Callithrix jacchus: one gene and its partner. Each later gene encodes a partner of the first gene's protein in a complex. Links are inferred from orthologs where the notes say so. Each region holds a gene or a part of one and is shown on either strand. Other genes may lie near its edges.

The links.
Region 2: the proteins of UBA3 (region 1) and UBE2M are in contact, whole or in part, in a crystal structure (PDB 2NVU), measured with the Homo sapiens proteins. The link is inferred for Callithrix jacchus from reciprocal best matches to the Homo sapiens genes UBA3 and UBE2M. Residues at the interface, in NP_003959.3 of Homo sapiens: His53, Pro54, Asp55, Glu61, Ser62, Phe65, Cys70, Gln149, Asn152, Asp153, Thr154, Arg157, Gln158, Phe159, His160, Ile170, Arg173, Trp174, Ser181, Leu182, Leu183, Asn184, Pro192, Ile195, Val196, Pro197, Leu214, Met217, Arg254, Met255; in NP_003960.1 of Homo sapiens: Lys3, Leu4, Phe5, Ser6, Leu7, Lys8, Gln9, Gln10, Lys11, Lys12, Glu15, Lys21, Gly22, Ser23, Ser24, Lys25, Lys26, Ala27, Gln31, Leu32, Gln35, Lys36, Ile38, Asn39, Glu40, Phe51, Ser52, Asp53, Pro54, Asp55.

The regions. Positions count from the first base shown.
Region 1 is NC_133516.1:50,877,047-50,880,855, reverse strand, and holds part of UBA3 (NEDD8-activating enzyme E1 catalytic subunit), read left to right. Parts: intron 1-17; coding exon 18-82; intron 83-388; coding exon 389-544; intron 545-1,355; coding exon 1,356-1,458; intron 1,459-1,608; coding exon 1,609-1,722; intron 1,723-3,809. UniProt on the Homo sapiens protein: Catalytic subunit of the dimeric UBA3-NAE1 E1 enzyme. E1 activates NEDD8 by first adenylating its C-terminal glycine residue with ATP, thereafter linking this residue to the side chain of the catalytic cysteine, yielding a NEDD8-UBA3 thioester and free AMP.
Region 2 is NC_133523.1:51,191,665-51,196,170, reverse strand, and holds UBE2M (NEDD8-conjugating enzyme Ubc12), read left to right. Parts: upstream 1-1,535; 5' UTR 1,536-1,738; coding exon 1,739-1,847; intron 1,848-2,930; coding exon 2,931-3,025; intron 3,026-3,153; coding exon 3,154-3,192; intron 3,193-3,293; coding exon 3,294-3,397; intron 3,398-3,704; coding exon 3,705-3,768; intron 3,769-3,850; coding exon 3,851-3,991; 3' UTR 3,992-4,369; downstream 4,370-4,506.

The DNA of each region.
Region 1 (3,809 bases):
TTTTTTTTTTTTGGTAGAATTTCATATTATTGTCTGTGGATTGGACTCTATCATAGCCAGAAGATGGATAAATGGCATGCTGGTAAAGACTTTAGTGTTGTTATAGTTCTCTAAAGTTCTTGCTGCTGTGCTTGACATCCCCCAAATTAGAATTTATATCATGTTTTTGAAAAATCAGTCTTTAATTTTGAATTAGGTATATATACTTCACTGTTTATTGCCAGTCATTGGTTTTCAGGTGAGGACAGAAATTGTTAGTATTGTAATTCCTTGATTTGATACATTGGTGTTCAGTAGCACAACTGACTCACAGGATTACTTGAAAACTTCCCTTTTTTTTGAATTCCTATCCCTTTCTCCTGTAAAGCCCTTCAAATTGTTTTCCTAGATATCTCTTCTAAATTATGAAGATGGTGTCTTAGATCCAAGCTCCATTATCCCTTTGATAGATGGAGGCACAGAAGGTTTTAAAGGAAACGCCAGGGTGATTCTGCCTGGAATGACTGCTTGTATCGAATGCACGCTGGAACTGTATCCACCGCAGGTAATCAAAAGAACACCTGTATTTCTTTTATAGTATCTTGGCATGGAATTAGGGATTAATTATTAAGTCTAGTCAGTATTTAGGGTTTTTAATTAGAGGTAGCCATATTTTAAAATTATGCTAAGAAGAAAGATAATAAAATAGGAAATTCTGTTCTATTTGAGGAAAGATATGAACCAAGTACATTGTTTTGATACTATTCTGTTTTCATACTTTATTTGTATTTTTTATTTGGGGAGTAGGTATCAAGTAGAATTACAAAGCTGTATGTTGATGTCACGCTATAATCTATGTGGTTTTCACCTGTATTTATTTCAGGGAAACACAGATACCAGGGATGAGAATGATCTTTCCAAGGAAGGAGCTTTTTTATTTATATACCCACTTTAAAGGACACTTGAAATTTTGAATAATAAATGTACACAATTTTATGAGTATTCACTTGGGATTCATTTAACTCTGAATTTGCTTTTGTTTTCGTTTGTTTTATACTTAAATATTAGGTAAACATAACAAGGTTCATATTTGAGAATCTGTTCTGCATTTTCTTCTCATAGTCTAACAAAGCTTAAATTTCATATACCTTGTAAATGTAGGGCAAACTTATCTTTATAGGCAGATCAACTTAAGTGAAGTGACTCAGATAATCTATATTAGTTTGAGAGGCATTTTTAATGGTATACAATGTTTTGAGTTGAAACGAATTATAGGAAACTGTTACGAACTAGATCATAACTGGAAGTTGCATTTTAAAATTACTAAATTTACTCATCATTTCAAATTTACTAAAAAGGACAAACTATGGCTTTAGGTTAATTTTCCCATGTGCACCATTGCATCTATGCCCAGGCTACCAGAGCACTGTATTGAGTATGTAAGGATGTTGCAGTGGCCTAAGGAGCAGCCTTTTGGAGGTAACAAATCTAATTTAATAATCTAGAATTACATAAAATACACATTATTTCTGTATTATTCCTTTGGATAATTTCATTAAAAACACTGTTTTGTGATTACATATTTCTGTCTTCTCTCCTCTCTCTCTTTTTTTTTTTTTTTTTAAACAGAAGGTGTTCCATTAGATGGAGATGATCCTGAACATATACAATGGATTTTCCAAAAATCCCTAGAGAGAGCATCACAATATAATATTAGGGGTGTTACATATAGACTCACTCAAGGTAAGTTAGTGAATTGTCTTGAATTATGATGTTGGGATGACTTAGGGCTGGGGATGCTTTTGGGAGAATAACTGATAAGTGAGTTTGGTATCATCCACCTGAAGTTCAGTATAGGTACCATGTAATTCATGCTACTTATCAGCTAGGGGGAATTTAATAAAATCACTGAATCTTATTTAGGCTGTCAGCCATCTATGTGAAACTGTCCACTTTATCTTCCACAGAATTCATCACCTCTTGGAGACAGTCTATTTCACATTTGGACAGGACTGTTAGACAAGTATTCTATAAATTGAACAGAAATCATCTTCAGGTTGGGCGCAGTGGCTCATATCTGTAATCCCAGCACTTTGGGAGGCTGAGGTGGGCGGATCACCTGAGGTCAGGAGTTTGAGACCAGTCTAACCAACATGGCGAAACCCTGTCTCCATTAAAAATACAAAATTAGCCGGGCATGGTGGCGCATGCCTGCAATCCCAGCTACTCGGGAAGCTGAGGCAGGAGAATCTCTTGAACCCTGGAGGTGGAGGTTGTAGTGAGCCAATGTTGTACCATTGCACTCCAACCTGGGCAACAAGAGCGAAACTCCATCTCAAAAAAAAGAAAAGAAATCGTCTTCAGTTTGGTCTGAGTATTGTCCAAATAGTATAGTATTATAAAATCTAATTTCCTTTTAAGTAATAGCCTTTAACACATTGAGGACAATGATCACATCCTTGGCAAATTTTTATCAGTGCCATAAACCTCCCTAGTTAGTTCCTTTAACCCTGTGTTAGTTCATTTTGCGTTGCTATAAAGGAATATCTGAGACTGGGTAATTTATTAAGAAAAGAGGTTTATTTTGCTCATGGTTCTGCAGGCTGTGTGAGTATGGCACCAGCATCTGCACAGCTTCTGGTGAGACCTCAGGAAGCTTTTACTCATGGTGAAAGCTAAGGGGAATAGCAAGACATGTCATATGACAAGAGAGGAAGCAGGAGAGAGAGGAGGGAGTACCAGGCTCCTTTCAACAACCAGCTCTTGCGTGAACTTAATATCACGGAGAGGGCACCAAGCCATGCATGTGGGATCTGCCCTAATGATCCAAACACTTCTCACTAGGCCCTACCTCCAACACTGGGTATCACATTTCAGTATGAGGTTTGGAGGGGACAAATATCCAAACTATATCAAACCCTAAGATACGTTGTACAGTTTCAGGTCCTCATGTTATTTTTTCTAACCGTATTCTAGCTATCCATACTGGTTAACTGGAATATAGTTAGAGAAAACAACTTCTAACTGTTTAGGTCAGCATGCAGCATTCTGGGACTGGTCTTATTTTAGGTAATAGACTTCTAATAATTGATGCAGTCTTAAAGGAGAGCAGGTATTTTTGTTGTTTATTTGTTGTTGACATTGATGCTATACTTTCCATTCTTTGATGTCACTAGCCACTAACAGCTGGATGTTTTGTCCACATAATGTAATTTAGCCACTAACAGCTGGATGTTTTGTCCACATAATGTAATTGCTAAGCAACATTTGCCTATTATAAACTTGATGGTGTCGGGGGAAGGTGTTCTTTTTTTTTTTTTTTTTAATATCCAAGTATATAGGTCCTTACAGATGTATTCTTGAAATTCAACTTGCTTTTCTCCCTTTATATGTATTCAATTCTGCCAACTTACCTGGTGTTTCTAGCTTTATTTCATCTGTTGTTTTGATAGTTATATCCTTTATTTTTTTTTCAAATAGTTGATCAAAATTTTTAACAAGACTGAACTGTCTGAGAACAGACATCTGAGTCATACCTCTAGCCAGGCTCTTTTAGGTTTATCTCATTCTGTTCAGCAGACCTTCTTGAGTACTTTGCATTTCTTTATCTTGTTCACAAGGATGTCATAAAAAACCTTTCCAGATCCTCTACTGAAGCCTAGGTGTACTATATTTTGCATTTTCCTGAGTTGATAAGCTAGTCATGGTAGCTAAATTAGGCTATTCCAACATGATTTGCCTAGTAACCAATTATGCTCAATCATAATGATCAGTATTTCTAATCTTGTTACAGTTTACCTTTTCTAGAATTTTGTCCAAGATCATTACCA
Region 2 (4,506 bases), on another chromosome or scaffold:
ATTGGCCAGGTCCTTCACACAGCACCCCCCCACACACACACACACACCCCTCCGGCGGGTGACTTGGGTGCAGGTAACACAGGGTGGAAAGCAGTTTCAAAGGGGGTCTATGTGCAGCAGGGTCCAGCTTGAACCTTAAACCCCAGTCAAGGTCTCACTCTGGCTAGGTATCGGGCTAGCCTTGGCCCTGGACATTTCAAGGAACTAAGACTCAAGGCTTGTTGTCCAAGCTTCTTCCAGGGGTGCAGCCAGACTTTCCCCTGCTGCTTCTAGTCACCCCAACCCACAAGGCTGGAGGCGTGGCCTCAGGGAAAGCAGACAAGCCACCCTTGGCCAGAGACCACTCCTGGGCGAGGAGCTGCAGAATCAGAGGGGTGGCGCCTGGGCCCCTCCGCAGGCAAGTGCCACCACACCAAGCGCTCGCGAGCACGATGGTTTCCGTGGTGACGGCGGAAGTGGCTGACCCGCAGGGTTCTGTTTCCTCCCGCCCTCCCAGACACACTGAGCTGCGATTGGATGGGAAGCTGACTCCCGCCTATATCCCCTTTTTCAGATAGTGGGTTGAAAGCCGTGAGACCGCAGTGCGTCTCTGCTGGAATTGGGGGCCCACTCCCAGAGCTGCCCGGCTCCGCCCCCACATCGCGTTCCCCAAGTGTCCAGCCCGACAGGTCTTCCTCTACACCACCTTAACCCTCCAGAGTGCTTACCACCATCTGGCACAATACATGTTTTGTTAGTTTACCTCAATCAGAATCTCCAGGAACTGGGATCTTTGGGTTTGCGATGGGACAATGAAGGTGCTCGACCTCGCACCCTCTGGGTAACGCCTCTAGTCTCACTCAGAGTCTCGCCGCGATCACCCTGCCTTTGTCTGTGACCCATGGGGTCAAAGGCTCTGACCCACCCGCGCCGCGCTCTGCACAAGTACAACATAGGATGAAGTGACCGCGAGCGAAACACCCCACGTCTGCCCCACTCAAAGATGGCGGCTAACCACACTTCCTGCCCGACCCCGCTAGAGTCACCGGAAGTGACCCGCCGGGCAGCCGAAGCGTCAACTCCAAGAACGGAAATACCCGAATCCAGCCGAAGGAGGCCGAACCCCAAACTCCATCCCTGAGCAACGCGAGTTTGCCGCGGCTGCGCAGGCGCACAACGCAGGCCGGGCGGGAAGACCCAAAGCGGACAGGCGGCGGAAATATCCGAAGCGGCGGGGCGCCCGAGGCCGTTACCGACCTCCGCGCTAAAGCCGCTGCTGCCGCGGAAACCGATCCTTCAGTACTCAGCCCCCGTCACCGCGGCTGCCCCGTCCTCCTCCCACCCCGAGCCGCAGCTCCCTCGCGGACGGATCAGCTGAGCGGCCAAACGGCGCGGCCGGGGGAAACCAGAGTCCGCAGCTGCGGCGGGGCCTGAGACCAGAGCGGGCGAGGGCAAGGAAGGAGCAGCCGGGGGCGATAGGGGCGGGGCCGGGCGGCCCGAGAACACCCGAGTTTGGCCGAGCGCTGCCGTTCGAGCCCGAGACTCCAGGCCAGGCCAGAGCCGGACTACGGGAGCCGAGTCGGGCCGCGCGGTGGGCGCGGAGCAGAGCAGAGCGGCGCGGCAGGCCGGGCGGGTGGCGAGAGCCGCGGAGGCCGCAGCGGCGGGTCCGAGGAGCAGAGGCGACGCGGGCGGCGGCGGGAGGCCGGGTGGCCGGGGTCCCGGGCCCCGCGGCGGCGGCAGCGGCGGCGGCGGCGGCAGGATGATCAAGCTGTTCTCGCTGAAGCAGCAGAAGAAGGAGGAGGAGTCGGCAGGCGGCACCAAGGGCAGCAGCAAGAAGGCGTCGGCGGCGCAGCTGCGGATCCAGAAGGGTAGGGGGTCAGGGGATGGGGCTGGAGCCAGAGTCGGAGTTCAGGGCCTGAGGCTGGGTGATGTGGGCGTCAGGAGGGGATCATGCGATCGCCGAGGGTCAGAGGTGGAGGGCCCCTAGTGTAGCGGGTCGGAGGTCAGGTCTTGAGGGTTGGGGTCATGCAGTCACGGGGAGGGGGGTCAGAGATAGGGGCCCAGTGTGTGGTGGTTTAGGATATTAGGAAGGCCTGTGTCTGGTACGAGGGACCCGGAATCTCAGAGTCAGGCAGTGGAGTGGAGGAGCTGGGGACTCGAGAGTCTGGGGGTTAGACGGGAACTTGGGTTTGGGATGACAGGAGGAGAGAGGGATAGTAGAGGCCAGGGGCTGGGGATATGAATGGGAGAAGACTCCGTGTATCTCAAGAGTCAGACGGGTGGACTAGGTTGGAGGACCCGAAACTCATGGGCCTCAGAGTCACAGCAATTTGGGGTATGGGGTGACAGGTGGTGGAGAGAAGGTTAGTGACTACCAGGGATTGGAGACAGGGGTGAGAAGAAATTTAGCCTATTGTGCTGTGAACCTCGGAGTCAGAGGGAGTGGGCTAGGGTGATGAGGGTTTGGGGACTTGAGAGTGTGGGGGTCAGGTGGGAAGAAGGCCTTTTTCTCTCTCAGAGAAAAAGGACAGTGAGGACTGAAAATTGGTGAGGGTAGGCAGGACCCTTGACTTTGGGTGGACAGGTAGGAACATCTTGGATGGGGAGCCTGGGATTCAGGGTGGTCAGAGGATATTTGGAGCGGGAGCATTTGGGAGCTATGGATGCAGAAAATTGGGCGTTTACCCTGGGCCAGGAGTTGGGACACGCAGACTGAACATACCTGTTTGGGGTATGCCATATATCCACAAGAGCCAAACAGGAGAAGGGAGAGGGCTGGAGGTGTGGAGCACAGCCCAGGACAGAGGCTTGGGGGTCCAGGAGGAGGCCATAGGGGCTGTGCTGACAACACCTGCCCTAAGTGTCCTGCTGTCTCCCTCTTTGTCACTTTTTCCCCCTCCCTCTTTCTCCCTCCCCCTTTCTTTCCCCAACTCTCTGCTGCCCAAACCCAGACATAAACGAGCTGAACCTGCCCAAGACGTGTGATATCAGCTTCTCAGATCCAGACGACCTCCTCAACTTCAAGCTGGTCATCTGTCCTGATGAGGTGAGGGTGCATATGGCTGGATTCACAGAAGCAGATCAAGAGTGTCCCCACTGAGAGGACGGAGACATGTTCTGTCAGGCCCCACAGGATTGAACCCTAAAATCTTCTTCTCCCCCTTTCCCTCCCAGGGCTTCTACAAGAGTGGGAAGTTTGTGTTCAGTTTTAAGGTGAGTCCCAGGTGGGCAGGGATGGCTGCCTGGACTGAGGAGGCAGCAGCTGAGGCCCTTCCAGGCACCAATCCATCTCCCTTTTCTTTTCCTGGAACCAGGTGGGCCAGGGTTATCCGCATGATCCCCCCAAGGTGAAGTGTGAGACAATGGTCTATCATCCCAACATTGACCTCGAGGGCAACGTCTGCCTCAACATCCTCAGGTGAGGGCACTGGCCCTCTACTGCCTTCCCCAGCCCTGCCTGTCATACCCCCCTCATGGTCTTCTGGGCACTACATCAGTCTCTGTGCCTACCCACCCCTTTGTTGTCTGTGGTTTCTTCATTTCCCAGTCATCTTCCTCATGGCCTGACCTTGGTTTTCTCCCTGTCCTGGCCTGCTCCACACCCTCCCTCCCAGTCTCCCACATCCTCACTCTCCTATGCCCTGGATCTGACCTGTCCAATATCAGAGGGGCCTATGGCAATCTCCCACTCACCAAGCCCTGACCCTGATGCTCTCTGTCCACAGAGAGGACTGGAAGCCAGTCCTTACGGTAAACTCCATAATTTATGGCCTGCAGTATCTCTTCTTGGTGAGTAGGAATAGGTGGTTGGGTTTGGGGAGATCGGTCTTCTGTCTCTCTGGCCTGTTGACCCCACCTGTACTGGCCACAGGAGCCCAACCCCGAGGACCCACTGAACAAGGAGGCCGCAGAGGTCCTGCAGAACAACCGGCGGCTGTTTGAGCAGAACGTGCAGCGTTCCATGCGGGGTGGCTACATCGGCTCCACCTACTTCGAGCGCTGCCTGAAATAGGGTTGGCGCACACCCACCCCCGCCACGGCCACAAGCCGTGGCGTCCCCTGCAAATATTTATTGGGGGCCACCGGCAGGGGGTTGGGGGGCAGCCGGTGGGGGAATTCCCTGCCTTGGCCTTGCCTCCCCTTCCTGCTACCTGCCCCTAGTTTGTTTTTTTTTTTTAAACCACCATGTGATTAAGGTCGGTGTTGCCTCCCCCGACCCACTCAGCAATGGGAAATGAATTGGCTTGTCTAGCCCCCTGCTGGGTGTTTGTTCAGCCCCCACTCTGGGCTGTGGAGTGGGTGGGCAAGGGGCCTGGGTAGCTGGGCCCAGGCAACCCACCCCTCCACCTCTGGAGGTCCCACCAGGCTATTAAAGGGGAATGTTACTGCATGGCCTCTGCTTCTTACTTCTATGGGGTTGGAGGGGGCAGCTGCGGTCCACTAGGGTCTGCAAAGCTGGGGGGTGGTGGAACGTGTATTAACAGGTGGCATTGGAGCACCCTACAACAGAATGCCCAGTGCCTGGGC